Cricetulus griseus: one gene and its partners. The protein of the gene in region 3 interacts with the protein of the main gene of each other region in a pairwise test. Links are inferred from orthologs where the notes say so. Each region holds a gene or a part of one and is shown on either strand. Other genes may lie near its edges.

Region 1 (6,762 bases), on a different chromosome or scaffold from region 3:
CTGAAACCCGACCAATTCCCACCCTAAAAATCTCCACCCTGTAAATATCTCCACCCTAAGAAGCCCTATATAAAGCCCTGTGCCAATTCAGTTGGTAGCTGCCTTCTTCCGTCTTGGCAGTGGAGGCCGCCCTTCTAGATTCCTCCCTCCCAAGAAATCTTTTGAATGAGGTTTGGGTGAGACCTTCTTTCTCCGAAGTGGAGTACACTCGGGAATCTTAGCAGAACTGTAACAACTTTGCTGGGGAAATCCTTCCCTGCCAGGGCAGAATTGTTACGTTGGGGAAGCCATTCGCTGGACCAGGGCAGTAAACCGCTGAACTTACCGTGACTTTGTGGTAGTACTTGGCTCCTGACTTCCAGGATCCCTTTCCATTCGAGCTGCAATGCTTACAACCCTGATCCTTGAGGTTCATGCCAACAGTGTGCCACTCTACTCCATGGCCTCCCCCCACCCACTGTCATCACCTGCTGATGTGAAGTATTCCCACCCATGAATGAAGTCTTCTCAACGACGGTCCATGCTTTCACTAACCCTACTCCATACAGTAGCACCACACTGGTAATCCCGAAGTCTTCTATGCTCACAGCTCACCAGGATGGCTTCTCTGTTGTTTCCCTCAGCCACATCGTCACATCAAGGCCACTGCTCACACCATCCCGACTAGAAACTTCCCCCCCCCCAAATCAGTTTAAGTGTCCCATGCCGACCAAGGTTTCTCTTCCAACCCCAATCCAACCCTACCACAACCCATCCCCCCCCACACCCGGCATTCCTGGGTGTTTCACGGTCACTCTAGCTCAAAATGACGGGCTAAAAGGAATCAGAAACACTGGTAACGGTTTAGACACTTTTATTAACATGTCTAATTATCGCCCCCCCACCTAGGGGGACATTGAGGCAATTTGAGGCTGAAGTGGACTGCCAGCCTCAGTGACCCAGGTGTCATTAGTTCTTCTCAGGTTCTGGTGTCTCAGAGACCACAGGGTCCTCATGCTCTTTGAAGACTTCTCGAAGCTGATCATTGTTCTGGACTACCTGGGTCACGTGCTCTGGGGTTATGAGCCTTGTGCCGTTGGCGTGGGCCTCCCTGCCTGCCAGGTCCAAAATGTTGGATGTCAAGAACTCGAGCACACCGGCCAGGAACACAGGTGCAGAAGCGCTCAGGCGTTGAGAGAAGTTTCCGTCTCGGAAGAAGCGTTCTATTCGATCTAGAGAGAATTGTAGCTGACCTCTGGTGATACGGGAGATGGTCTCCTTGCGCTTTTTCTCTTCCATAGTGCCTGCTGGTATGGCGAGTTTGATTTAGTCGCAGATGGATCTCTTTTGACCTGTGTTTCTCAAGACGCCCCCTTTTATAGCCACCCAGTGCCCATCTCTCCACCTCATTGGTTAGGAGAGGCCTTTGTGACACCAGGCTTTGTGATGTCATTGGTGCCTCCTGGGCTCTGGTCCTCCTCCAGTCTAGAAGTGCCCATGTTAGGAAACTGCTCACATTATTGAATACATTACCTTTTCAGGGAAATTGTCCCACTTTTCTTTATCAGTACAGCAAACATTTGGCTTTCAATGAAAACTGTTCATCCCACTTTAGCATACCATTCCAGTGTCTAAGATTCTAGCATCACCTTTGACATTTTGTACATCCTTCTGGAAACTGTTGATCACTGACAGATCTGTTACACATGAAATGTCCCCCATAAGCAGATGAGGAACATCAGGGAATCCATCAGTTTACTCAGACCTTGTTCAAAGGTCTGAGTAAAAAGCTATCTAATGTGGAAAGTCTGGGTTCTGGCCCATAGCTATGAATTAGTATAGAAGTAAATATCACCATCTGACACAATTTCAGGCAGTATTGCAGAAGAAAGGCCTTAATCTGGGAGAAGCCATTGTAGGTGGATTGAACAATCTGGGTGAACAGTTCTATGTGATCAAGTAGTCACCATTCCTTAGATTTTGTTTAGTGTCTCAGGTGGAATTTGAGGATGGACTTGTTTGATTCCCTGTTGGCAAGCCCTTAGGCCTGGGAAAAGACAAGAGTTCAAAGAAATAGAGCTTATGTCTTCAACTCTGCAATTCAATCAAGGGTCAAATATAAGTCAAAACACTTTGGTTCCCTTATCTAGATATTAAAAAGTTAACTAGTATTTCCAGAGAGTATAACATTTTCAATTGATCTGAGATAACAGACAAATGGACAGTATCTGGCAAGCTAGATTTTGTTTTCTATCCAAAAGTGATTAATTTCTATAGATCACAGGCTCTCTAGAAAGGCATTTACTAAAACCTGATGCTTAACCACTTTTCCTCATCTAAAATGTGTATTTCCATCTGGCTTCAGCATCACTCCAGCATCAGGTAACTGCTCTGTTCAAACTGCCTGCAATGTGTAACCCTTCCCAGTGTAGGGAGAAACCCTGATTAAAGGTGCCTCTGACCACGCCCGCTTCTGCCTGGTCACAGGTACCACTGACCACGCCCACTTGGGCATGATCAGAGTTATATAACAAGGGTTTAAGAAGAAGGGAGCTCTCTTTTGCCTGGCTGAACTGACTAGGAAGCATTTCTGGGTCGGTCCCACTCAGGTGAAAACCTGGTCACTCATGCTCCTTTGCGTGAGTACTTTTCCCCAATAAACTACCATTTATCAACCTATCTCTGACTCTACTTTGTAAACATCTATATCCCAGCATGCATTTTCTTCTGAGACCTTCACTCCCATAAAACAAGGCTTCCAAGCAGAATTTCTGGTCATCAGCAGTGTCTTCTAAGTTACCATACTAAAAGCCAAACTTGCCAGTGAGGCTCCAACCAATTTCCAAGCTTCTCCAAGGCTTCTTTTGTATTCAGAGTCAATGAGGATGGCTTCCCTGCCCTTCCCTCCATCCAATTCCTCCCATCTTCCAATTCCACCCCTCCACCTAAGCCACCCCCACAGAGATGTGCTCACTGTAAGTCACTGATTCATACACCCATTGCAAACCACAACTTCCATCCTCCACCCTTTCGTTAGTATGTTGCAGACACCTCTAACTCAGAAAGACAAAGTGAAAAGAATTAGAACAACCAACTTTCACTTAAACACTTTATTAGTATTCATGGAACCAGGGGAGTTTCCTCTGCTATTAGCCATCATGGTCCTAGCTGAGTTCATGAGGCTTCCCACCCTTGGGTTCTGTCCCCAATTCTTTAGCCATTCCTTCTGGGTCCAGGCATCTCATCAAACAGAGAGAAAGGTGCATTCTTGAAGGCATGAGAATGGTCATGGTCGTTGTCCCCTTGCCTCTCTCTGTCTTGTGGGATGTCTTGCTGGCTGTTGATGTTGGCTTCGGAGCCCACCACCTCCAGGATATAGTCAGTAATGTAATCAAGCATGGCGAGGAGGAAATCTGAAGTGGTAGAGCCTAGGCAGGGTGTATATTGCTCCTCCTGCAGTAGATGGTACACATAGTTCACAGGAATCTGTACCTCGGGCTTAGAAGAAGGATCTTCCATCTTCTTGTTGTCACTGCAAGACTTTCCTTGGTTCTTCTTCCCTGACATGATGGTTTGATGGCTTGGGCTCCGGCAAGCTGTGCTTGGCCCACCAGCAGGACTGGCTCTCGGGAGACAATGTTCAGCCCTGCTCATTGCATCCCCAGTTTCTACTCATTGGTCAGCAGCTACCTTTATGACATCTTGGACTTTGAGATGTCATTGGTGTCTGGGCACCAATGGGCTCAGACTAGGCCTCAGTCTAGAAATGTCTGTCACAGCAGTTTCACCTCCCTGCCCTGATTTTGAGAAACATTTAACTCCCCTCAATTACAGTCAAATTAACATTGTAGAAATAACATGTTTTAATTGGAAACTGTCTTTATAACCTTTCATTAATTAGAGGGTACTGGTAAACATATCAAATATACTTTCCAGGTAGAGGTTTGACTGACCTCTTCAAACTGTTGGAGTATGCAAAAAGGAAACTGGGAAAGGAGGAATATTCTGAAAGAGGAAGTTTAGATCCTTCAGACACTAAAACATCATCAAGTAATCCCCAAATTTCCTGTCCCAGCTCAGTTAAAGGTAAACCATTAGAGCACCTTGGGGCCTTAAATTAACCACATTAAATAAGTATCTGTGCCTCCCTAGTCCAAAGCTAACAAAAGATACAATATCACTCATGTTAACAAACTTGGTTAGCCATCTCCTATCTCAAACACCCATCGTGAGGATGGAAACCACACAGAACACATTTGAAACTGACTTTCTAGACAAATCCAACAGTAATCAATGTGGTTCTTTCTTCCTGTGTTCTCCAGAGGAGGTGGAACAGTTTCCACACTCACTACTCAAGATATCCCGGGCAGACTGCTGGTTTCCAACCTCAACACATCTGACTATCTGATATGTCTGTACACCCAGCTGGTGATACTGTGTGCTCAGTTAACAATCTAAAGTTTACCCTTCTGCTTTTTAATAAAAGCTTCCCTATCCTTACCCCTAGTCTCTGTTTCATTCTTTGGGAAAGTGCTCTAACTAACGGAGGAACTACTAACCTTAGATTGTCTCATCCAAACAACCTCAATGATTCCCCAGGAACAGATTTGGTTCTGTAACATAGATGTGTAAGGGCTAGTAAATATAATGTGATACCCCCCCTCGCTGAATCTGTAGCTTAAGGTACCACTCCACCTCCCCTAGTACCCTCCTGGAGCATATTTATTCTTCCATATCTCCTCTAACTGTTTCCCTTGTGGTAAGTACCCACTACTTCCTCCAACTACTTCCTTGTTTGGCTTTGGAATACTCTTTCTAGGGGTTCCTTCTAGGGGGTAGGATATCTGAATGAGTCAAAAGGAATCACACTATTGACTTTAAATTAGAAAAAAATTAATATATGAAACTGTGTATAAATATGCACATATAGTTTAGATGAAATTTTCTCAACTGGGCTGAAAATGAGGCCTGGGCCTACAAGAGGCAAAGACCATCTAATAAAAACTCAACACCAGGTATAAGAATCCCCTTTTGGTGTTGTTGGTCAGTGTACTCCAAGAGACTCCCCAAACCTACACCTGTGGCTATTTCCCTTGGTTATTCTTATAACCCAAAGGCAAATGTAATCCACTCTCATCAAGAAAACTTCTCTTTGCAACAGATGAAGACCATCACAGAACCACAGCCAATCAAAATACAAGTTGTGGAGTCCAGTCCCAATGGATATATCTATAAAATAACTCCTAAGGCGCCAATCAAAATACAAGTTGTGGAGTCCAGTCCTAATGGATATATCTATAAAATAACTCCTAAGGCTCAGGGAACACTACGGAAGAGAAAGTGGAGAAATTCGAAGATCTGGAGGATTCAGACAGTTTGCTGTGAGATCTTGTTTCCTAGCAATGTCAGAAGTTAGACCCATAAAGTCTCACCAACATAACTGCCTAGCTGAACAAGGAAAAAAATAAACATGCCAACACTGGAATGACTGCTAGACCTCAGCCCTATACAAAGAACTATAGGCAATGAAGGAGAGCTGGGGAGAAATGAACTTCCCGAGGGGATATATACCAATTAGTTATCCAATACCAAATGGTTATCCCTAAAATCATACATATAATCATATACTATCACAGTAACATTATACAAACTGATACACACACACACACACACACACACACACACACACACACACACACACACACGTATATCAAAAACTAATGGAAAAGGGAGACGTAAATTTGAAGAAATCAATGAGTGGAGAGGTATATAGAAGAAGAGGAGTTTGGAGGGAGGAAAGGGGAAATGGTATGATTATATTATAATGTCAAAAATAAAAGGAAAACAAAGGTAACTAAGGAAGCTAGTGGCAGTAAACCAGTAAGCAGTACTCTTCCATGATTTCAGCTTTGGTTCCTGTCTCTAAGTTCCTGCCTTGGATTTCCTCAATGGTGTGGATTTTAATCTGTAGCCCACATCAAGTGTCTCTTCCCCAAGTAGAGTATTTTTTCACAGCAATAAAGAAACATACTAGGAAAGCCACTTCAGTATGTTTAGTAGATTGCGAACATAAGTACATTATGTGTGCTTCAGTTCATTCACAGGGATCTGAGGCTTACAGAGTTCTCATTCACCTGGCTGAGTGCTCTTGGTTTTTATTGTTTTCATTTGTGCTGGCCACCAAGCTCTTAACTATAAGCCTTGCTATTTCCAGGCCTGGAATCCAGGGATAGCTACCTATTCAATATTCACTTGGTAAGTCACATGTTTCCTTAACTACTATCAGGTAGACATGAAGATTAGAAAGAGGAGCAAGATACAATTTAGTCTTATTGACATGAATGAAAATTAAACAAAATAAAAAGCTTTCTCAGTGGAGGACAGAAGTTACCTTTCTCAGTGTAAGTGAGAAAGCTAGAAACTCTCATAAACCACAGGATATGGTATGTTCCTCTATTATAGAGGTCATGGGCCATAATTAAGAGTTAAGATTTAAAATCCTGCCATAGCTGGATTGGAGGAGGGACTAAGAAACTTAGACAGCTGTTTTCATTACTATAGCTCTAGAATAGAGCTTGAAGTCAAGGGTGGTAATGCCTCCAGAAGTTCCTATATTGTACAGGGTTGTTTGGCTATCCTGGGTTTTTTATTTTTCCATATAAAGTTGAGAGAATTTCATTGAAACAAAAAAACCGTACAGGTTGACCAATGGAATTGAATTGAAGACCTGATATTAATCTACACACCTATGATCACCTGATTTTTGAAAAAGAAGCTAAAATT
Region 2 (7,326 bases), on a different chromosome or scaffold from region 3:
CTAAATGTGGAAAAGGCACCATTCCTCTGTGAGAGACTTCGGATCAAAGTCATCCCCACACTAGCACTCCTGAGAGACGGCAAGACGCAAGACTATGTTGTCGGATTCACCGACCTAGGAAATACAGATGACTTCAATACGGAAACTTTAGAGTGGAGACTTGGTTGTTCTGATGTTATCAATTACAGGTAACCTATTGCAAAAACAAACCAAAAAATAAGTGGTAGTTTTGAGATTTATTTCTTTATTTTGTATGTGAACGTTTATTTTGTTTTATTTTATGAGATTAAATCCTGTTGGCTAAGATGTAGACAGCTTGGGAAAAGCCCATTTCTTAAGGCATAGAACAATGTGATCTTATAGCGAAACCAAATTTACAGATAAAAATTGAGGTTTGGAGGCAGCCTAGAAGATTTCAACATAAGAAATGTTACTGAAACTAATTTTGGAAACCCAAAGTGACATTCCAGAACAGATTACCTTTAGGGGGTGGGAGGTTGTTTTTTATGGTGTTAGAGATTCAACACAGAGCCTTGCACATGCTAGGCAAGTTCTCTGTCACTGAGTTATACCCTAAGCCTTACCTCCACAACTTATGACTGACTTAAGTGGTTCTTTGTGATGAAATTAAAATATAAAACATACTGCTACAGAGGTCATACACTTTTGTAATTTCATGTTTGCAGTATGAGGTGAAACCTTATATAAATTAGCTGTGTGCCTCACTACCACACCACAGCAATAATCCTAGTCCCGAAAACCATGCTAAAATACAGGCTTTTTTTATAGGCATGTATATGTCACATGCCCAATCTGAAAATACAAAAGGTTCCCATAACTGGAGAATGGTCTTATTTGTGGGACAGTCTAAAATCCATTTTCCATTTTTTGAGCATGGCTTTGTCCCTTCCAAATTGAAAGTGCCACCTGTGTTTTGTGCCTATTTTTGCTTTAAAAAGAAAAAAGGGAAAGAGAAAGACAGACAAGGAAAATTGTGTCTTTCAAAGCAGAAAATCTCATCTTTTTCTCTCCTCTGCTTCCCCTCACTGCTCTGAGTCCCCACTACACATGAATGAATCGTCCTGTACTATGGAAGTCCATTTCTTTTTGTTAATATTAACATACATTAACATTTGTTCAACAAAATGTTACATTTTGAAATTATTTCAGACTTTTTTTTCTTTTGTTTGTTGTCTTTTGAGACAAGGTCTGACTCTACAGTCCAGTAATGTTAAGCCCCCTGCCTCAGCCTCCCAAGTGCTGGGATTACAGATGGGATCCACCATGCCCAACTTCGATTTCAGATTTCAATTAAGTTGCAAACTAGCAAAAGGAATTCTTACATAGTCTTTACTATATGCCCACATTTTAAATGTTTATGCCAGATACATAACAAAGTGTCTTCAGAACGATATGACTATACTTCTTTATTTCTGAATGTATATTTCCTAAGAATAAGGACATTTTCCTGAACCCAGTTCAGTTACTAAAATAGCAGTGATGTAGTTTATAGAACCTACTCAAATGTACCACCATCCTTTTATTCTCCATGTCTGAAAAATGTGTCACACTTAGTTATTGCATTTAGTTTCTGTAACAATTTCTAAATTACTTTTCAAGGTTATACTTTTCAAGTTTATACTTTTCAAGTATAAGCTAATTAATTTCTCAGGTGTTCCATAGTTCGGGTCTATGTGTGTATCTCAGCATGAGACTCAGGTCTTTGTATCAGGACTGGTTGCTACGGGAGGGAGTCAGTGCCTGCATTCTTAGTGCACCATCAGATGGTTTGTCTCTCTTTAGTGCTATGGCACTAGGTTGAATACTACCATGTCAGGTAGTAATTTGATAAGGAACTTTTGTATAATTTGTATTTATTTATTTGTCCATTTAGTGATTAGTCTGGGCTATGAATGATTTTATTCTGTGGGTTGTAGTCAGTAAGACTCTGTTATCCTTCGAACCCTCCCTCTGTGATCCAAGCAAAGTGCTTTAGGAAAGCTTATATTGTATTCTCTCTCTAAAATAAGCTGTATTTCTAAGAAGTTGTGCTTACTGTCAGTGGCAAATGGTAGTTTCTTCTTTCCTTTTTTTCATTTATTGACTGATTTATTTGCTGTTTATTTAGGGCAGGCTCTCACTATATAGTCCAAATAGTTCTCAAACTCACAGTCCTTCAACTTCAGTCTCCTGGCAACTGGAATGACAGGCATGTGGCACCATACCTTCCTAGCAAATGATGTTCCAAAACTAACATCTGGATGCCAGGTTCCCCAGACACATACACAAAACTATCTGATCATTTATTTCTCTAGCATCATTGAAAGGATTTTAAAAAAAAGAAAATTAAGTTTTATGCCAATTCCAGGCTGACAATAGTGCATTCCATGGGTTTTACCAGTGTGTGTAGAAATGTAAACATTGGGGTGCCACACAGGAAGAGTCCCAGCAAGAGCACAAACACAGCAGTGTAGCCTGTCATTATCATTAGTACGGGTTCAGCACAGGGTCAGTGCTTCCAAAACACTCTTCCCTATCTGCTTCGGAATGGTGAGGCTCCATCTCATCACCCCCAAATTGTTTATGATAATGATCATGATACACAAGAAACTCAAATGTTGATCTAATACAGTTAAGTGAGGTGTGAACTATTAATCTTTAATATTAATGCATTTTACAGTCTAGCATCCCAAGGGTATTAAATCATAAAAAATAAATGCTCTTGAACTTTGTTTCACTTTTAGTGGAAATTTAATGGAGCCACCGTTTCAGAGCCAAAAGAAATTTGGGACAAACTTCACAAAGCTGGAAAAGAAAACTATCCAAGGAAAGAAATACGATTCAGATTCTGATGATGACTAGACTGTGCCATACTTGTAAACCACCTGTCTGTCTGTCTGTCTGTCTGCTTACTTCAATGTTAAATGTTGTTTCTAAAGTCACTTGATTTAGGCCCATTGACCATCTAATATTTGAATCCTAGCGTTTACACTACTTCACCATATGGAAGGGCATCATAATTACTATTTTGTCTTTGGCCACCGTGTGTAACTTGAGAAACAGGTAATATAAGTTAGCTGGAAAGGGTCTGGATTCTCTATTTTTGTGATTGAGTTTATCATAACATAATTCTTCTATCTTTATACCACTCACACTTGTGTTTTTAATCTACTGAATTAGAAACAGAAATTCAGCCACCTATTCCAGGATTTACTGAGTGCTGTCTATGGAAAAGATTGGGTGGCATTTACTGGTGTACATGCGCTTGTCAGTGATTTCTCACGTCATTGGTGGAATGTGTTTCAGGAACCATTAAAGATTTGCCCATGTATTCTGGATGCCGCATGTTGAATGTGCTGATACCAGCAGAAAACTCAGATTATAAACACATTGATTGCCTTATGTAAAGGATCCTCATTGCTCATATGCTGAGACATGCACTAAAAAATAACTAAGAGACAGTTCTTGAGTGGCAGCATATGGAACTCCAATGGCTGCTCAGTGAAACAGTTTTACCATAGGTAAAAGTTATTTTTTAAAAGTGTGACTCTGGAAATGACTGTATTTGGTAAGAGCACACAGCAACACAAACAAAAAAAAAGAAGTCTTGAAGAAAGATTGATCTTCAGTGGCGAACAAATTCTTAGGTTTGGTGCCCAGAAATAAATAAGTTTTGGTAAGAACAGCAAGTGTGGCGTCTAATGAGATGGTTCAGTGTAGAAAGGCACTGACCACAAAACTTAAGGACCTGAGTTCAATCCCCAGGATCCACTTGGAAGGAGGGAAATGGTTCCTGCAAGTTGTCATGTAACATATTCACATAATTCCAGTAAATACAAGTTGAATTTAAAAGGGTGGCTTGGGGTTTGGAAACAATGTAAAGCAGGAAAGAAGGGGGGAAAGGTAGAACAAACATTAACAAATTGAAAATGACATAAAGGGGTTGGCTCAGCAGTTAAGAGCACTTGTGTTGGAATCCTAGCACCCACATGGTGGTCACAGCCATGCACTAGCTCCAGTTCCGGGGGCATCTAATGCCACCTGCTGACCTCCATGGGCTCCAAGCACACATGTGCACATACATACATTCAGACAAGATGTGTATATGTAAACTGAGGTGGATCTAATTTTTAAAATACATAAAAATCTAGTTCTTTGAAAGCAACACACCTGTTCTGAGCAGTTGAGAGGAAAGACATAGCAGAAAAGATTCAAGTAAAATTGAAATGCTGATTATGAACATCTCTATACCAATAAATTTTAAAAAACAAATTCCTAGAAAGACCAACTAAAAAAGTACCTAAGAAGAAATAAAAATTTGAGTAGGTATCTAGAGAGATGGCTCAATGGTTAAGAGCACACATAACTGCTCTTGCAGAGAACTCAGGTTTGGTTCCTAACACCCATGTCACTGGTACCTCAAAACCACTCGTAACTCAAGCTCCAAACGGTTCTGGTGCCCTTTTCTAGCCTCTGCGGGCACCTGCACAGACAAGTGCAGACTCAGACATACATAAAGGAAAACCTTTTTTTTTTTTTTTTTTTTTTTTTTTTCTTTTTTTCAATTTGGGCAGAACTAAAACTGATAGGGACTTTATCCCTAACACCAGATGACTATATTGATAATTCAGCAAAACATTTTTTTAAAGAATAATTAACATCAGGTTTCACAAATTTTAAAACTAAAGCATGAGGGATGACTATCTCCTGCTCTTGGGCTAGTATTAAGCTAACACCAGAGCCAGACTGCAACATCAAAAAATTAGAGACCAATGACTTTTCTGAATACTCAAAAATACTAACAAACTGAAACCCAGCAGCATAAGAAAACAAGATTGCATCTTATAATCACACTCACATATACATATACCCAAATACAGACATAAACACACATAATTAGAAATAAGTCTTAATGAGCAGACTCTTGGGTTTTTTGAGACAGGATTTTTTTGTATATACTTGGTTGTCTTGTAACTAATTCAGTAACCCAGGCTGGCCTCAAACTCAAGAGATCTGCCTCCTCAGTGTTGGGATTAAAAGCATGCACCACCACTGCCTGATAAATCTTTTTAAAAATCAATGTAATTTGTCCTGTAGGTGCAATTGGGAAGCAAGTAGGAACGGCTACCCTGACAGAGCAAACCTAAAGCAAAATCAGAGACAAAAAGGTCACAACAGGCTCTGCGGTAGACAGTAGACCCAAAGCTGTCTCTGACGCATCAAAGAAGAGTGAGAAGAAAAGTAGTCTATATTCTAAAGATAAAGATGGGGAGCAATTCAGAAACCCACAAAGGAAGTATGAAAGCATGTCAAAAAGGTCTAGTGAGAGAAAAGCCAACCCAAGCATATGTGTGACTCAGTGGCAAGAGGTTATGTCAGGTAAGAGGGTCAGTCCTGGTGAAGAGACCAGCAGCAGCACTACCTCCGGGGAAGCCCACAGCTCTCAGACCCAGTTGTGGGCTTTAATGAGACCCTGGTTCCTCCAGCAGACAGATCTGCAGTAGAGGGGACTCCCATTTCTGTCACTCTGTGACTCAGTAGGCAGGATCCAGGCACCGTCTTGACAGGGAACTGAACTACACTGGAAGCCTGAGCATGGAGAACAACCACACAATGGCGAGCCCAAGTTTAGTTAGCTATGATTTGGTTCAATAATGACAGACAACCCTGGGAGGAGGCTATGTAGAATGGGGGTGGGGGGGTGCTCTCTACATGCTGACAGCTAACAGTACAAGAAACAGAAGTTAGGGCAGTACAGTGCACAGGACAAAAGTCCTGCCCTGGTTGCAAGGATCCGATCACATCAACTGAAAATAAACCTGGAGTTGTGTAGCCTATGCCTGTGGTCAGCAGGTGGACACAGATGCTATCTATCTAGGTAGCAGTATTGCTGCAAAACCTGGAGACTGAAGCTCCAGCAGGCAAGCTCCCACAGCAAAATGAGTGAAAATACAGAGTCAAAGAACATGGTATCTTGGTTGCTTCCATACTCCCGGTGCCTTGGAGACATCCATTTGTGAAGCCAGGATCTGGGGAGGGAAAGTGATGACAGACTATCAGCCCACAGACTGCAAAGCTAAGTATGGCCAGTAGAGGACCCTACTGCACAAAGAAGGGAAGCTACTAAAGTAGAGAGGTCCTACGGACAGACTTCAGACACTTGAAGAACCATAGAAAAGAGCCCTCCAGTTCAGCAGCCCTCACTCCCACACACAGGAGCAGCAGGCACCATCTCTTAGGCCCTGAAAGAAGGTCCCTTGACTCTTCATCCTTACTTGACCTCCTGGCCTTCCCTTGTGTTTGTTCTTAAACTCATAGAAGTTCTTTTACTTATCCTATTTCTTAATGTTTTGTGTTATTTCTTCTTTTTTAGTTCTTCATGGAGTCGTCCAATTTTGATTATGCATTTTTTTTTCACTAATAGGCAATCCTTTTTTTCTTTGTTCCTCTCAACTAGACTCTCAGAAGTATGCTGACTTAGTCTTGCTGGGGATACTCTTTAGTCTGTTGTTTTTAAAATTCTTGTTTTTATTTTGTACTCCCTTTTTCTGAAGGGAGAGGTTGGGACAGTTTCATGCTATGTAGCTCCATATAGACCAGGTTGGCCTTGAACTCAGAGATCTGCCTTTCGAATTCTGGAACTAAACATGCTGCCACCATGCCCACTTATCTAATTTTGTTTTTGAATGCTATCATTATTGCAAACTCTAGGCTTTTATTATTGTTTTTTCTCTTCCAGTTTTTCTCTTTTCCCTTCAACATTCTTCTCTTTTCTTCTTTTGCTTTCATTCACTTAATATTACTTCTCTATTTCCCCTTTTCCCTGCCTTCTTCCTTTATCTCATCTATTTGCTATTGCCACATTTAACCTAAATTATTTTTAACTTCATAACATCCTATATTACTTTTTCTCATTCTCTGTTTTAATGGTCACATGTGATATATTAATGCACTTTAAGTTATTTTAGGTGTATTTCTGTATGTGGTACTTTTGCTGTTATAATCGTTTGTTTTCTCCACACTGGGTAGTACTAGAGATTGAGTCCCAAGAATGGGTTGCTTACTAAAATTTGCAAATAAAACCAAAAGAGCTAACCAAACCAAAGATATATAAATTTCATCACAGAAACACCAGAAATATGGGAGAGATGGGGAAAGCAAGGCAACATGGTTACCACCAAGGTGAAAGATTTATATTTCAGTTTTTTTAAACTGTGTGTGTGTGTGTGTGTGTGTGTGTGTGTACCACAGCACATGTGTGGAGGTCAGAGAAAAACTTGCAGGAGTTGGTTCTCTCCTTCCACTGTGTGGGTTCTGAGGGTTGAA
Region 3 (8,159 bases):
TCTCCTACTCTTGCCTATCTTCCTGCCTCTGTTAGCCAAACAGTGTTTTATCCATCAACCAGTAAGAGAACCATATGTACAGAAGAACATCCCCATCAGAGCTCTAGCACCCCTTAGGCATCTCTTAGAAACCAGGAAACTAAAGAGCATGGACATGACATATTAGGGGATAATAGGTGGCATTTCATCCATGGGACAGATGCCTGAGTTGAGGGGACTCCTCTCTCCTACCATCGTTCTTCCACATCAGTTGCCCCAACCACCTAGTTTTCTGGGAACTTAGACACCTAAGAATGTTTACTGGAGGGCACAGATGGCACTTTCAGCATTCTATAATGTATAACAATTAGCCAAACATCAGGAAGTTCCTATATCCACACTAACAATTGGATGCCAGTTTCAAGTAATTCTTGTCTTTTCATTCTTGTGGATTCCTTAAAGTCCATTATTAGGCAGCATTTGATTAACCCAGCTTGATTTATTGTAGTTACTTGCCATGATTGAGGGAATTTAAGTTAATTTCCCTAAAGAACTCCACCTCATTATTCATTAACGTGAGCGTTATCTGTAATTCTAATTGTGAAGATTGAGAATTTGTTAATTTAAGGAAACCCTTACGCTTAATAGCATTTATTTTGTGAAAATGTTCTGGGTTCCTGTGTGGCAGGGTTAGTCATTCACATCTGTGGTGTACTGGCGGATTGTGACTTGAGGACTTGCAAGCTGTGATTACACCTACCAGTGCAGGGGTCAGTTGACCCTGGTGACCATTGCCATTCTTCGAGTGTGAATATGCATCTCAGTTTCCAGTTGAAATAACTGAAAAGAATGGGCTTTAACACTACATCTGGCAACCCCAGAAACCATGAGCTCCGTGGTATTCATTGAGTGCCCTTACTCTTGGCCAGCGCTAGACCCTTGCAGGGGCCTAGAAAGACAGAGATAGAGGTGCATCACACCTGAAGGCAGTGCGGTGGTACCCGCTGGGCTGGAGGACATAAATCTCAAAAGAGCCCTTTTTAGTTGCATAGTCGAGTATTTTGTAAGTTGAGTATAGAGGTAAGGTGTGGTGATGCAGGTACTTACTTCATCCCAAGGACAGTAGATTAAGGCTCTACTTATATCCCTCTTCAGGCTATCTGGGGAACTGTAATTCAATGACACAAACTCAAAAAGAAGAAAATCCCACAAACCAGGATGAACAATTGCTTGAGACAAACAGGCTCCTTGATGGGGCCTACCTTCTCACCCGCAAGTCAGTTGCCAAAGGGCCCCATAAAGGTCCCTGGATGGACCATGCACTGAATCCCTGTCTGCAATGGTTAGGACAGCAGTAAACCAGACGAACACCATGACACAACTGGAATTAGTAAAGTTGAAGTCGGTGTTCTTGGTCCATTCGCATTCTAAGTTCTTGGAACTCCTCTGCTAATCCTTCTATAATCTCTAGCCACTGTCTTTGCACTCAGTTTCCCATCCACCTTCTCCCCTGGGGAAGCCAGTCTTTGGAAAAGTAGCATCCCAAATGATGAGAACCACAGCTTCACCTCTGAATGTTCTTTGTCTCCCAGCTCCCTCAGCACAATCTCATCTCTGAGCTGTAGATGGGGACAGGAGTATCCCTGTGCCTGGAGGGAAGGGCAGAGGGTGGTAAGGGGACATGCTATTTGTCCTATGAAGAAGTGACAGTGTCTGATTTCATTTGCTCTGTGTAGTCACCTCCTATTTTTCTGTAGAGCTTGAGGTCATGTGGACCGGGGGGTGGACAGGGGGAGACAGCTGAGGGAGGAAAGCCCCGCAAACCCAGCTCTATACCTCTAACGTACGTGTGAGCTGAGCACTAGGTCTGAGCATGCTCAGTTGACCTGTTGGGCTATTAGTTGGAACATAGTAGACTGTGAATGACTCTGAAGTAAAGTACAACAGAGTGCTTTGTAGGCCGGCCTTGGTGTGCCCAGGATTTCTGAGGAGCTGGTCTTTCCCCAGCCATGCATCACCTGGCTCGTGTGTCTAATGACCTGCTCAGGACCACAGTATCCATTCACATGAATCCGTCCTGAGTTGTCCCCCCTCCATGCCTTGTGTGTATGGACCCCTAAAGGGAAGGTGCAGTGTTGTCAGTGCCTCCCTTCCTGAGACATCATTGCAGACACTTTTCTAGCAACCAGTCTTTATTCATTTTTTAAAAAAGGAAATCCAAATAAGTTAGCAAAAGGATTACAAAAAAAATTGGCAAAAACCACACAATGCTTAGTTAACAAAAGAAGTCACCCCAAGAGCCCCCACCCCCTTCCCTGCCTGTCCCTGGCAACATCAGCACAGGAGACCTTGGTCAGATGGCAGCTTTACAAACAACACACAAAACAAAACAAAACAATACACAAACTGCTGGAAGGTTCCCAATATCCACTGCAAAAGCTTGGCCCCCAGGGACTTTGGAACAGGGTAGCTCCTCTCCCTTCTCTCAACTCAGGGCAGGCCCAGCCCAGCCGCTGGCATCAGGAAGAGATTGAACAGATGTGCATTGCTTGTCCAGATCAGGACGCTGTCTGTCTCTCATTTGGGGTGGAATTAGAGGCATATTATGATTTTAAAAAAGCTCCTGAGTTTGCCCCATTGGGGGACATCCACAAAGGGGGTTCTCTGGACCCCATCTTTCTTTCCTTGGAAGGGGATGCTCTCTGCTAAATGAGGGCATCCATTCCCTCGATGGGCTGGGTGTTAGTCTTATATGAATGGGGAATGGGTAGTTTGGCCTATGGCAGTCTGGGGCTGGGTTTTGTTTTTTTTTTATTTTGTTTTTTGTTTTTTTTTGGCACCAAGACAATCTCACTTAAAAGGCCCCTACGGCAGAAGTGGTGGCCTTTGACACCACCTTGGGGGCTCACATGGACACCCAGCCTGGCAGGCAATCTCAGTTGGGAAGAGTTTCATCTGAGAAGGCAACAGACATATCCTCCACTGTGATGCTGTCCACGATGGAGGTGAGGGAGTGCAGGCTGTGGGCATCTGGAGGGTCAGCTGCAAGCAGGTGATCTGTAAGAAGAAGAGAGGAGTGTTTCCTGGGCAAGGACACAGGTTTTCCAGGACAGATAGGTGAGCAAGAGTCAGGAGTTCCCCCTAGCCACTTGTGTGTACTTGTGTGCTGCCTCTCTGAACTCCTCTATTGCAGTTAGGTTTTAGAAGTGGCCATCCCAAGGTGAAGCCAGGATAATGTATCCTAGGGAACTGGGCCCAGTTTTGCAACACTGACTCAGCAATTCCCAGGGACCCCTGGGGCAGGGATAGGCACTTCTCCCTGAGGTCAGCCACCAGACACCAGCTGGGATGCTGTTGGGGCTGTGACTACTCCTTAGTTGATCAAGGCTACAGGGAGGCACAGGGCCTTCAGCTCACCATTTGGGGCCACAGGAAGATGACTGGAACATGGAATAAGGTAAGGGAGTAGCCCAGCCTAGTTAGGGACTAAGTGATTTGAGCCATGGTTAACAAGGTCAGGATTCACACTTACCTCCAGGGTTGTGACCGAACTCCAGTGCACTGCCCCACTCTGGACTGCAGGAGGCGCTGTGGGAGTTGCATTCACTGGGCACCTGTAAGACAAGGCCAAGATCCAAGGTCAAGTCTACTGCCATCCTCAGGTATAATATATCTTTGCCTGGGTTACAGGGTATGTTACCCACTCTAGAATGTCCGCCATAGATACCCCACTTTCTAGGTCTTCCCTGGCTTCTAGGATGGGAATCTGTCTTCACTTTGTGGGTAAGGTGATAAGCCAGAGTACTTTGTTATGATGACCTCGGAGCAGTTGTAATGTGTTTTGTCAGCTCAGCCATGGAGGTCGTGGGTTTGGGACAAAGCAGATATCTTTCGCCACTTGGTCTGGCCTTTTAGGTGCTGACTGGAGCATGGAAATCAGCGTTCCCCTTCCCCTGGGCTCCCCTAAGCCCTTACTGCAGGCCTGTTTCTGGGCCCCTTCTGTGCTCTTGTGCAGTCCACCCCGCCCCGTCTGTATTTACTATCCACTGCCTTTGTCTGGTCTGGAAACAGAATGAGCACAGAAGGTCTGTGGACAGCCTAGCTGACAAGGAAAGGGGTCTTGGGATTCCCCGGGGCCTTGGTTTGCACCTGTTCCAGCTCTGGTGGCCCGAGGCTGACCAGGCACCTCCCTCTGGCCCTATCCCTAGGACTGGTGCACCAGCCACTTACCACGGGCTGGGGCCCGCCCCCGCCTCGGTAGCGGAGATCTCTCTCCTCCTGGTTGAGGGAGCTGAGCAAGGCCTGTAGGCGCTCAATGTACTGGATGGCACTGCGCAGGATTTCCACCTTAGGCAGTCGCTGGTTGGGGTTGAGCAGGGTGCTCCTCTTCAGGGCCTCGAAGGCCTCGTTCACTTTCTTGAGCCTGCGCTTCTCTCTCAGTGTGGCTGCCCTCCGCCGGTCCACAGACACCGACTTCCTCTTACACACCTTACACGCCCACGGCAGGCACTGGCCTGGACAGTGCTCAGGGGTCCCCAGTCCCTTTTCTTCCAGGGGCCCTCGGGCTTCCGGACTCAAGCTAAGCTCAGTTCTCTCATAGCCTGGGGGCTCGAAGCCCTGGAGGTGGACAGGCAGGTAGTTTTCCCCATCATAGAAGTGGGGCTCCTGGTAGAAATAGGGGGATGTCTCATAAAGCTCCATCGGGTCGGAAAAGACTTGTTCCTGCCACTGGTCCCCAAGCTCCTGCAGCCCCTCACGCCAACTGCTGGGTGCCATTTAAACCCTCCCTGCTGGCATGGACCCAGAGATAAATATAGCCAACGCCACAGAAACCTGAGCCCCCCTCTAAGCTGTTGCTGCACATCAAGACGTTTACAGTGGATTACATGTGATTCCCCTTCCCTCTCCTTTTGCCCCCACCCCACCCTGCCAGCCTGCCCCTGGCCCAGGCGGCTCCTGTGCACGGGTCGGGAGGCCGTCGGCTGTAATTTGATTAGTTTTCATTTCTCCACAGCCCCTGTGGGGCAGGGAAGGTGGGGGTGGATGCATTCCCGCTCTCATCTGCTCCTTTCAATTACTCCTATCCGGGCCGCCTGCCTGCTCTCCTCTATGGTCCAAGGCAGCTGGTGGACAGGGCAGGAGAACACAAGACAAGGGTTGCTTTGGGCTAGAAGGGGCCTCCAGAGCCCATCTAATCTTCTCTGTGCTGCTTGGGAGCACTGTAAACCATACTGCATCATCCTATGAGACCCCCCTAACGACCTACCACCACGGCAGGACCACTCCAAATTTGGGGCGTGTGTATGTGTGTGTGAATTCCTAGGGTCCACGGAGGCAAAAGACAGAAACTCAGAAGGGCAAATGGATTCAACTTCTGAGTTTCCACAGCAGGTTTGACCTTAGGTGTCCTCTTAGGTCTTGTGTAGTTGGGCATAGATTGAGACAAGAGAACTTGAGGACTTCTTAAATAAGGGGTGTTCTTAAGTAAGAGGGCAAGTCAGTGTTGAGTGAGGATTAGAACTCACAGCCTCTACATTGCCATCTCCCCCGCCAGTTAAGAGCTAGTCAGCCTTCTGTCTCCCTCCTCGGTCACTGTCAATCGTCTCTCCACGCTTTCCCCTCAATGGTGTCTTCTGCCCTCATCTTGACTCCTCTCTGTAGTTGGGGTGGTGAGGAGAATAGCCCTTTATATTGTTTGTGTCTCTCCTGGGCCACCAGCCTGGGTTCTTCTGCCCGAGTCATCACCTCTGCATGCATCATACAAGTCTAGAATGACAGGTGTACGTGTGGGGTGTTCCATTTAATCTCCAGATGCATCTGTCAGTGGTTACCTCAGTAGAGGCTTTGGTGGCCAGGGAGGACAGTTCTAAGGGCAGGCTGCAGGCCCCTGGCCACCTTTTTCACCCCACCTCTGATTCCCAAATCCCCTTCCTGTGGATGTCACATGATAACCTATTCTAATAGGAACTCAAAAGCTAACCCATGGGTCAGGGTTTCCCCCAGGACCCTGCATACAAAGTGTGAACCACCCTGCTGTCCCCTTTGTAGTGGAGCAGGAGGTGGATGCGTTATGATGACCGTCGGGACAGTAAGGGGAAGTAGAGTGTGCTGGTGGAGAGGACTCGGGGAGGACTCACGTCATAGTGGAGGGAAGAGCTGTGCGGGGTTTGGAGGACTAGCTTTCTGTCCTCCCTGAAGCCATAGAGAGAGCCAAGAAAATGCCGCTGTCCTTTGAGGGAGAGGACAAATGGGAAGGGAACAATCTGGACAATAAAAAAGCCCCCAGTAAATTGGGACAGCGAGAGGCCTTAATTCATTTCTTGACTTCATTCATAGGCTACAAAGTGTAGCACAGTGTGTGAGTTCTAAGCCTGGCCAGCAATAATCTCTTCATTTAGCATGCTTCCCACCCCCTCAAAAAGAAAAAACAAACAATTTACCTTGCTTCAGCTTATACTCCAGTCCTGTGAGCCCTGAAAAAAAAAGTGTGTGTGTGTGTGTGTGTGTGTGTGTGTGTGTGTGTGTGTGTGTGGGTCACGGCTGCCATGGAAACCTAAAAATGGTACCTTTTGTCCTTGTGGGACCCAATCTGACTTACCCTAAACAATCTGTCTTCTTCCTCTGGAGTGGGAGCAGAAAGGACTTGTTCTAAGATGGCTCGCAGAACCCTGCTGCCTAGTAGGTGAACCTGGACCCTGCTGCTGTGCTCCATTACAAAGCTGTTAATGCCACAGCCAATGAGATGGGTGGCCATGGTGGCACACACCTTTAATTCCATACTGGGAGAGCCCAAGGCAGGAGGACTGCCAATTCTAAGCTAGTCTGGGCTAGTTGGGGGACTGTCTCATACAAAAACAAAAACAAAACCAAACAAGGACAACATGGATCACTTGCAAACAAATAGCAAAGTCACTGAAGGCTAAGTCTCTGTGGAGGGCTGGGGCAGGGACAGGTGCTGGATCAGGTCTTGGGGAACCAGCAGAATGAGGACATGAAGAGGTGAGAAGATGGATCAGTTTGTGTGGATCTCAGGGTTCTGGTGAGGGGGTGTGGCTGAAAACAAGTCTATAAATGCAAGAGGCCCAACTGGGCGTGGAGGGACTTGGAAACAGACAAGGAAACCACATTATCCCCAAACCCCATGACAGTAATTCAGGAGTGAGACAGTAAAGGTCTGAACCATTGGCTTGGGCAGGAGGGTGGATTTGATTTGGGAAAACACACGCTTCAAGCTGGCAGTAGGTGTGTGTGTGTGTTGTGTGTGTGTGTGTGTCAAACACATGGAAACACCCAGTGAATAGAAGACTTACTCAGTGCCTTATCATCTCTCTGTTTCTGGGCCCTCACTTGCTCTTATCCTCATGCTCCTCAGTTAGGTGTCTGCTTTAACCATATGGACCACAGAATAAGGACTGGAGGAGGGAGCTTCCCTCCTCACAATTCTTCCAATCAGGAAACTGCACTGAGCCGTGGGTGCCAGGAGACACGAATAGGAAGTCATTTATCTGCCACCCTGTGCTCACAGCTGAGTGATAATTGTGTACCCACAGTCACCTTTCCATGATAGAAAGTGCTGTGCTGGGTGACAAAAGAGAAGGCTGGGAAAAGGACAAGCATAACCCAGAGGAGAAGTGGACTCTCCTTTCTTTGTTCAACCTACTCCGTGTTGGTCCTTGAGTTGGGGATGAGGGCTGTTACTAGACACAGCTCTGGTCTGCAGGAAGCACCACTGGATTTGAATGTTTGGGTGGGGGGTAGTGGTGTGTCTGGGTCCCTGTGAAACCTTGTCTATAGATAGATGTCTTTGTGCATGTCTGAATAAGGTGGTCTGAAGCATGCCAGGCCCCACTGTGGGGCAACCCACAATCTCAAAGATGCTCTTGGGATTGAAGTGGTGGAGTCACTCAGGTTTCTCTGATTTTTCAAAATCCCAATGCAGGGGGTGGGGTTACTGACCCTCTAGACACCTTGTTCTCTCATCAATTTGTGAGACATGCCTGGTCTTTCTCCCCTGCATACTCCAGCACCCCACGAGCTGCCCTCTGATGGACGGGAACACATTGGTGCCAGGCACAGAGGAGTCTTTGTGTTCCACCATCAGTGGTGATCCATCAGAGCTGACCTGACAGCAGGGCATCCAACCTTAATCCCCACCCCTGCTGTGTGGGCATATAGGGGGC
Region 4 (8,968 bases), on a different chromosome or scaffold from region 3:
TGTAAGCAATATTAACTCAAGTGAAAGAGAGACAATTCTAAACGCATTTGAAAATTTCTTCAAAATATACTACTAAGTGAAGAAAGCAGGATGCTATACAGCATGTGTAACAGGGAATATATGTATACCATTGTCATTTACATATAATTAACACAATTAATATCAACATATTTATATATTATGATTTATCCAAATATGCATAAACAAAATCTCAGCTCAGATTTAAATAGTGGTTATTATGATTGGAACTCAGCCCAGAGCAGACATGGCAAAAAGTCATTTTACTCTGTATATGTTTATGATCAAAAAATTTTTGAATCATAAAACATATCACTTATCCAAAAATAAACAAATAAAACTATATAAGAAATGAGTCAACAAACAAACATTGGTGAAATGGTTCCACAGAAATCTGTCAGTGGGATGGTTTTAGAAAGTACACACAATACTAAATTAAAAAATAGTCCCAAATAGGATTCATCTTTTTCTAACTTATTTGACAATTCTATAAAATAACTGAACTAACCATGAACTGGGCAATTGCCTTAATGAAGAAAACTCGGTCTTGTTCCGTCTCAATGTCAGAAGGGATGTCAGTCTGTGGCTCATATCTGTCAGAAAGAATAAGCATGAGACAATTCAAAAGAAAGTCCCTTAAAGTCAGGTGTGGAGGAGCATACCTATAATCTCAGAGTCAGGTGTGGGGGTGCCAGCCTGATCTATATAGTGAAACCCTAACTAAAATATAACAAAGCAAAACAAAGCCACCAAACAAAACAAAAAAGGTCCATTAAAGGGAAACTACGTGATTGAGTATTGCTAACACGAGGTTTTCCAGGCCCCATCCAAGGCAATATGATTAAGCAAAATCTTTAAGAATGAGGCTAAGTGACAGACCACAAGATGACTCAGTGGATAAGCAGGTTTCCAACAAGCCTAGCAATCTGAGTTCAATCTCCAGGACTTACATAGTGCAAGGGGAAAACCAACCAGTTCTCTAACCTCCAGTTGCATGTTGTGGCTAGCATGAACCCATACACATATGTGTATTTACACATGCTTAGTAGGTAAGGGGGTTTGCTGTATAAGCCTAGAAACCTGAGTTCAAACCCCAGAACCTGTATAAAGATGGAAGCAGAGAATCAACTCAACAACCTTGTCCTCTGACCCCCACACTCGAACATGTGTGCCATGATACGAGTGTGGAGATAAATAAAGTGTAAAGAAAAAGAATATGGGATCAGATTACAAACTAAATCCATCTCAAACTTCTAACTTTTATGAAAATAACCAAGATTTTGACTCAGGCTGATAGCCCTTGGCCCAAGATGGACATGTGGACTAAACAATTCACTCTAAGAAGTACCAGAGTTGTTGAAATTACTTGTTTACTGAGAATTCACAAAGGCCCATAAGCCTGTGATTCTCAGCGTGTATTCGTATAGTCTGAAAGATAAGAATAGTTTTTACATTTTAAAAGCAAACAAAAGGGGCTGGAGAGGTGGCTTAACAGTTTAAGGACATAAACTGTTCTTCCAGAAGACCTGTGTTCAGTTCCTAGCACCAATGTCATATGGCTCACAACAGCCTATAGCTACAGAATATTCAACAGACATCTCATGTAGACTTAATTTTATGTGTAACAAAACACACAATATTTATTCTCTGTTTCTTAACACAAAAGTTGCCAATCCTAATCATAAGACTTTTAACACAATGAAAACTCTACATTATTTGCTGTTTTAATTTTTTATTTTTAATTATGTGTGTAAGCATGTGTACATTAGTCCCTGACATCAGAGGTCATCCCAGAGCATCTGTAATATTTCTAACACAGTATATTCTGAGTGTGCAAGAAGGTCCCTGCCATTTTGTGGTGAGGGGCTGAAGAGGAACCTGGCCAGCACTCTAATGAGGATAGTCACTTCCTTCCATGTTCTTTCAACTCTGATGATTTCTTTCTTTCTTTCATTTTTTTTTTTTTTAATTTGAGAGAGGGTCTCGCCCTATGTACCCCTGGCTGGCCTGGAACTTGATATACAGGCCAGGTTGACCCTGAACTCACAGAGATCTACTTGTGCCATCATGTCTGGCAACTCTGGTGAATTTTTACAAGTCACAACTAAGTCCATTCTATGTAGATTGCACTATATTCTTCACTATGCATCACAAAAGGTTCCAGTTCCTAGTTAGCTAATGAATGAAAGTGCATTCTAACCTTTTCACAAGCCACAGAAGCACTTCAGAGACAAGCCCGAAGTTGGGTGAGCGGAAATTCTCCATAGAAATATGTCGTGGGTATCCCAAGGCTCTCATCATCTCTGTGAAATCTGTCCAACATAAAACACAATTCGGTTAGTCCTTGTCAAATGGCAACTCTTTGGAGAGTAGTTAATCTTATTCTCTCTGCTTTCCCTTCTTACTGGGTCTTCCCAACTTAGTAACAGCTTGAGGTACTGAATCCATCAACTCTGTAAGAGGAAAGGCAAGGTGGGGCAGATAAAAAGTTACAGTATCTAGTCCATCACATGAAAAACATCTAAGTTCAATAGAGTAGATTTTTCTTCAGGGAAATAGGGCTTAGGGGATATCTGAGACTTTAATTTCTTTCTGATATCTTTACTATCCCAAATAAAAACTACCTAGCCTCATAAAACATCATTAGAAAAAAAAGTCAATCATTATTTATGGGAGGGCCCAGGGTAGAGTGAAATTCAAGATTTTTTTTTTTTCAGTGAGCACATACAATTTTCATGACATATATTTCAAAGATCAGTTACCTCATATTCAGAGAAATTTTTAAGAAAATGGTTGAACTATAATGCAGTGTTTAGATTTAATGTAAAAACAGACTAGTAAACAGTAATATTGTAAGTTGGGGCACCTGAAAAAAAAAGAAAGAAATTGCTTGAAAGAAAACAGATGAAAACAAAAATGAAGAAACACAATGCTGGGTAGTGGTGGCATACACTTTTTTTTATGCAAACTGCATGAGGCTTTATTGTAGTTGTTTAATGAGCTAACCCCATGTTAGCTCGGGTCTTTCATCCACCCACCATGGCGGATGGCTAGGAAAGACACTTCGAAGCGTCTGGCATACACCTTTTATCGCAGCATTCAGCAGGCAGAGACAGGTGGATCTTCATAAGTTCAAAGCCAGGCTGGTCTACAGAGTGAGTTCCAGGATAGCCAGGGCTATATAGAGAAACCCTGTCTCAGAAAAAGAAAAGAACACAACCAAGCAGAGGCAAGTGGATTTCTGTGGGTTCAAGGCTAATCTGGTTTACAAAGCAAGTTCCAGGACAGCTGAGGCTGTTGTTACACAGAGAAATGCTGTCTCAAAAAATCGAAATGAACACAGTCAACGTTTCTGAGTTCCCACAATATGCTGCGCTCTTGAACATGTTTCCTGGCTGTGCAATGTCTACTCGTGTTTCTTGAAGATGGCCATTCAAAACAACCTGTTGACAATTCTAAATAATCTACTTGGACAATAAAACAGGGTGAACTGCACCAGATCGTGGAGGGAAAAGATGGTAGAAAACAAGTAGCAGTCTCCCCCTCCAGCCAGGCTTTGCCCAAACCTTTCATTCCAGTAAGCAGAAACTATCACGTTCTCCAGTGTTAGGTGGGGACAGTGGGGACATCGTCTTATACATTACACAGTATGCAGTATTTATTTGAGGTAAGCATTCTGAAATACTCTTCTTGGATACTCTTGAGTACATCGCTATTCAATGACCCTAGGAAAGTGCTGGCTTCATAAAAAAGTATGTGGGAAGCCATCATTACAGTGTTTCAAATACCCTCAAATCTCAGAAGACATGACTCACTCGAGGTTGATCTTAGTAGCGGCTACTTTTCTGCAAATGAGGCCAAGACTTTGGGTCACACAGTCCTTCCTGCCACTCTTCCTAGCTGTGTGTACCATGAGAAGCTATACTACTTGCAGTTAAAACCAGAAACAAAAAGTGAACTATGACAGCCTGGCACATAACAGATGTTCTCCAAAGAGTAGTGACTAATATAGATTTTCCACTTTCCCACTCTCCGGCAAAGTTCTTTTCTCAACATTCGGCGTCCAACCTCCAAAGCTGCTCGCTCTAGCTATTACGTCCAAATTACTTTGACCTCTTGTTGCCTACTTCCTCATCTCTGGCAGACACAGGGCACAAGAATTGCCTAGGAGAAAACGAAATAATGCCCACAAAGAGAACAGTATGTGATAGATTATACAACAACAACAACAACAAATCCTCAAAAATGAACAACAACCAACAACAAAAAACTAATAGGAGCATCCAGTCACCTCCTTGGTTTTATTGTTTCTTTCTACAAACTCAAACACAGAAAAAGTCTGCCATTTCCTATGACCTTTCTAATGAGGCTGCGAATGCGGCTGTGACAAATTGAGATAAAATGAAGTAAAATTAAACACATCCAGTTCCTCAGCCGCGAGACACATTCCAAGTGTTCTAGCCACACGCGGCCAGTGACTGACAGAACTTTCCAAAGGTGCTGTAAAGTTCTTTCATTCCCTGGCTAGTCTAGGGCTGGGGACCACCGGCCTGACTGGGCCGAGGGCTCAGGCAGGAGTCCGGTAGGGGAGCTCCGAGTTTCTGGGAAGCCCACGGGAAAGCCGGGTGCAGCCTTACTGCGGAGGTCGCGGAAAGACATGGCGTTTGGGTCCCAAGAGTCCACTGGGGCGCGGCTGCTCGCCTCTTTGGAGTTCGCAGGCCCAGCGCTCGCCGGTCTCTATAGTAACCTGCAGAGCACTTGGATAGCGCGCTGTCGGGGCCAAACAGGACCGGAAGCGATGAGGGCAGTGCGCGCACGCGCATGGCACTGACCGGCAGGTGGCGCCGCGCACCGTTCATTGAGCGCTTTTGGCTCCGGTCCTGTTGCGGCTCTCATTGCCTCATTTCTTTAGAGAGCACTATCACCTTATGTGACAGATCCTCCTTCGTATTTGTAAAAACATAGCTAGACTCTACAGTCGAAGCCGCATTAAGTAGCCATAAAATGATGGGAACGAAGATATGCTACCCTTGGCAGAACAGGAAAGCTGTACCCGGAAGGATTTCGTGTACGTACAACTTGTCAGTCTTCACGACAGGCCGGAAATCAGTTTCCATACCCTTACGCCAGCGGTTGTCCTGGAAACTGTGGTTAAGTCTGAGGCTGGTCGGTAGCGCTGGTATCACACCCGTGTGTGTGTGTGTGTGTGTGTGTGTGTGTGTGTGTGTGTGTGTGTGTGTGTGTGTGTGTGTGTGTGTGTGTGTGTGTGTGTGTGTGTGTGTGTGTGTGTGTGTGTGTGTGTGTGTGTGTGTGTGTGTGTGTGTGTGTGTGTGTGTGTGTGTGCGCGCGCGTGTGCGCGCGCGTGTTTGTGTGTGTGTAGGAGTCAGCCTGGTGTATCACACCCCTGTGTGTGTGTGTGTGTGTGCGCGTGTGTGTAGGAGCCAGCCCAGGCTCAGCAGGGAGGACGACCTCGATAAAAAAGGACTTGGGAGAGAAGAGATGAGCTAAGCCAAGTAGGGTGGGAGAAGAGGAAGGCAAAGCCCCAAGATGGGCAGGCACAGGATGTAAAAGTGTCCCTGACCTGGACATTGTGATACAGACCAGGAGTAAGATGCTTAAGTACTTAACGTGTGGAACAGGGCCACACATTTGTGGCTAGCGCTACATAGGTGACAATGCATTTGGACAGAGAATCGTCTTTGCAACAAATGGTTTTGGAACAATGAGAAGTCTACAGCAAATAAATGGAAACTCCACTATTATCCAGATACAAAAACAATGGTTCATAAACCTAAATGTAAAACATAGATTTTTTTATAATGAAATTTTTTATAATGAAACGTGAAGGTTTTGTGACTGAGTTGATTGCAAAATAGTTGTAGTTTTACATTTCCACCATCAAGGTAAGAGTTCCAGTTTGTCCATATACTTAGGGGGAAAATAATGGGATCATCTACACACTGCCTAACAACTTGTGAGAAAATGGACAATTAGACAAGTGTTACCCAGAACCACCTTCTCAGCATGATTCCAATCTCTCCAGGTTTGTACCCCAAACCCTTTCTCCCAAACACAGATGGGAAAGCCGAGGCCCCCTAAAGGTCACCTCATAGAATGACTTTCCATCGTGCTAGAGCTAAATTTTTGTGTGTCTTGCCCTGAATTTGAAGACCAGTGAATTTACTTTAGGTTTCTAGCCCCTCCCTTTGCCCTCCTCCCACTCTGCCCCTGACCTGATAACATACTCTTCCAAACTAAGGGGTCCAAGAAGACTAGAGTCTTTATTGTGACATCATAAGAACAGTTGCCATGGGAGACCTGCAGACCCACCTCCTAGGCAGGGGAGAGCAGGCCCTGCTGCACACAAGGCCTGGCCACTCCTCCCCCATCATACTGGCCCTCCATGGAAGCCTTGGTCTGTGCATTCTCTGAGCTTCGAATAAGAGAAGGTGCCTGGCTGCAGGGAGGAGCAATAGCAGAGATGACATTCTGTTCTAACCCGGGTCCAAAGCTACTGGGGAGACCCCAGGGACACGAATGCTTGGGAGGGGAGCAACTCCCGATCTAGGCTGTATGACTCTTGTACCCACTTTGCTTATACTGGCACCAGCATACCCTTTGTAGGATAGAGGGCACAAAAAAGGGCTTATAGTGCTGAAAGAGAGCTCAGTGCCAAAAGTCCTAGGCTTCTTAGGGGGGCAGAGAGGAGAAATGGGAATAGACAAGAACTGAGGCTGGATAGCCTGGGGGTGGGGCCTATCATATAAGCTGGTACCTGCATTTTTTTACCCAGATGCTGGGCCCACTGGCCACCACCCTCCTGCTCTCTCTCCTGCAGATGCAGTGAGCTGGGCCCCAGGACGCCCCAGCCACCCTGACACACCACCCAACATCTATGAGGGAGGGCTGGGGGCCCAGCAGCAGCAGGGCCCCGGTGCCCAGGGAAGCAAGCCCAAGAACTTCCGATTGCGTCACCTCCGGAGCCTTGCTCTCTACCTGCCAGGCCACATGCAGCCTGCTGGTCAATGTGGAAGCCACTGGCTAGGCCGGCTCATGGCTGGGGGCAGCCTGCCACGGCCTGAAGGCTCAGCCTGGCCCCTGGACCTGCCACAGGGGACCCTGGGTCCAGGTAACAGCCATTGCTCAACCCTTCTGGAAGCCCAACTGCCCAGGGACAACCTGGGAAATACAGGTGAGCTCTGTTAAGGAAGGACTGCAGACATGAGGGAGACTCACGGGAACTCAGATGGGCCTCTTCCAAACCCCAGCCTCTGCCAAGAACTAGGAAAGGACACAGTGGCCAGGACACACTAAAGTAATGCCATGCTCCAGGGGCCACATCTTGTTGAATTTTTCAATCTGTGTGCCCCACTATTGTTTTCGCACTGAGGATGTACACTCTAAGTCCTAGGAAATATCAGGGGTGGTAGTATGCAACTGGGCCACAGCTGGAGCCTGTTGGGATGAGGAGTGTAAGGCAGAGAAAATCTAGGATTAAGAGTTCTGGGTTCCAATCCTCATTCTGTATTTTGATGGACCTTGGGCAACTCTCCCTCAGTTCATTATACAAATGAAGCGTTCCTAACATTTTCAGCTTGATCCATGATGTCACTTTCTCCCCGCATCCCAATAGTTCTATTAAGGATGTAGCACCAAACACTTCAATTGTCTTGAAGGTTATAAGGTCCAAGGACACCAAGGTGGGGTTTAAGATTGGGTCCCTGAGTGACTTCTCTTTCCTTTTTCCTCAGCTTCCAGTTCCAGCATGGACCCAGCCAAGGGTGTCCCCTCCCAGTCTGGTCCCCATGAGGGCTTGGGACTCAGGCCCAAGAGGTCCTGGAGAGCCTTGGAGGAGACCATGTGTCCCTTGTGCAAGAGAACCCGCTCTGGGGCCTTGGAGAGGACATAAGGATCCAAAGTGCCAGGGCTGGGGACGGTAGGGGAAGGATGGCCGAGGAGGAGGAGGCCAGGTTTACTGAGGAAGGGTTCAGTCCCAGCAGCAGCCCTCCCACTGAGATGGCCCCCATAGTTGCCCAGCACCAGACCTGGGCTAGTCTGGGGAAGGTATGAGGGAGGGAGGAGGAAGTCCCACGGGAGGGACAGAAGAAATGGAAGCATGCCTGTGCCCTTGCAGCCTGCCTAAACTCCGGTCAGCCACTTGTACCTGGGAGGCCAGGCCGAGCAGAGAATCTGGTTCCTGAGAGACCAGGTAGTCCTCAGGTCTAATCTCAGTAAAAGCCAAGGCCTGCACCTTCTTGTCTGTTTGTCATCAAGTCAATCCAGTAAAAACTGCCCTGTATCCATTCAGGCTTTCCTGGGGTACATGGGGAATCATGGGGAGGTTCTGTGGCTGAGGAAGTGCTGAACATGGGTGCTCTAGAAGGCAGACAGGGTCTCATTAGGCCTGAAAACAGAGCATGGCATTCCAGGGACAAAGGGATGAAAAGTGGGTTTGGTTTAAACAGAGAACCAGGAGGGGACCAACCAAGGCAGGTGTGTTGGCCTGGACCTCACACTGCCCCACCGAGGAATTAGATGAATTTATGGCCCCATAGGAACCCATCAGCATTGCCACAGACCCCCCCCCCCCCCCGTACCTGGGTGTTGATGACCTTGGGTGTTAATATTTGGGGCTGGATCAAATCTGTTTTGGCCCATTCTGTGCCCTGGGGGATGTTTTGTAACTTCCCAATAATGTCAGCAGTACCCGCCCCCCCCCCCCCAGGCTGTGACCACATAAATTGTCTCCAGACAACATCCACCAGAGAGACACCCACTCTGGTTGGGAGCAGAGCCAGTTTCTCTACTGACCATGTGCCTGCATTACCCTTGGAGCTTTCTCTAAGTTATGATGGTGATGGGGGACAGAAGGGGGGGCAGGAAGAGAATTATAGTTTCCTACTTGGACCAAGTCCTAGCTCAAATCTGAGAGCCAGGTGCAAGTAGGAAT

What was found.
Region 1: the proteins of Myog (region 3) and huntingtin-interacting protein M interact in binary tests that used the Homo sapiens proteins (3 or more experiments, as listed by UniProt). The two-hybrid records come from large-scale screens. The link is inferred for Cricetulus griseus from reciprocal best matches to the Homo sapiens genes MYOG and H2AP.
Region 2: the proteins of Myog (region 3) and Txndc9 interact in binary tests that used the Homo sapiens proteins (3 or more experiments, as listed by UniProt). The two-hybrid records come from large-scale screens. The link is inferred for Cricetulus griseus from reciprocal best matches to the Homo sapiens genes MYOG and TXNDC9.
Region 4: the proteins of Myog (region 3) and Cluap1 interact in binary tests that used the Homo sapiens proteins (3 or more experiments, as listed by UniProt). The two-hybrid records come from large-scale screens. The link is inferred for Cricetulus griseus from reciprocal best matches to the Homo sapiens genes MYOG and CLUAP1.

What each region holds. Positions count from the first base shown.
Region 1 is NC_048604.1:115,607,675-115,614,436, reverse strand, and holds huntingtin-interacting protein M, read right to left. Parts: upstream 3,547-6,762; coding exon 3,193-3,546; downstream 1-3,192. Other genes in the region: histone H2A-Bbd type 1, read right to left, coding at 949-1,278.
Region 2 is NW_023276807.1:10,265,164-10,272,489, forward strand, and holds the end of Txndc9 (thioredoxin domain-containing protein 9), read left to right. Parts: coding exon 1-188; intron 189-2,744; coding exon 2,745-2,862; 3' UTR 2,863-3,683; downstream 3,684-7,326. UniProt on the Homo sapiens protein: Significantly diminishes the chaperonin TCP1 complex ATPase activity, thus negatively impacts protein folding, including that of actin or tubulin.
Region 3 is NC_048598.1:54,924,258-54,932,416, forward strand, and holds Myog (myogenin), read right to left. Parts: upstream 4,681-8,159; coding exon 4,210-4,680; intron 3,594-4,209; coding exon 3,512-3,593; intron 3,037-3,511; coding exon 2,915-3,036; downstream 1-2,914. UniProt on the Homo sapiens protein: Acts as a transcriptional activator that promotes transcription of muscle-specific target genes and plays a role in muscle differentiation, cell cycle exit and muscle atrophy.
Region 4 is NC_048600.1:42,740,291-42,749,258, forward strand, and holds the start of Cluap1 (clusterin-associated protein 1), read right to left. Parts: upstream 4,820-8,968; 5' UTR 4,678-4,819; coding exon 4,656-4,677; intron 2,331-4,655; coding exon 2,219-2,330; intron 612-2,218; coding exon 527-611; intron 1-526. Other genes in the region: CUNH16orf90 (uncharacterized protein C16orf90 homolog), read left to right, coding at 5,023-5,086, 6,812-7,210, 7,770-7,927. UniProt on the Homo sapiens protein: Required for cilia biogenesis. Appears to function within the multiple intraflagellar transport complex B (IFT-B). Key regulator of hedgehog signaling.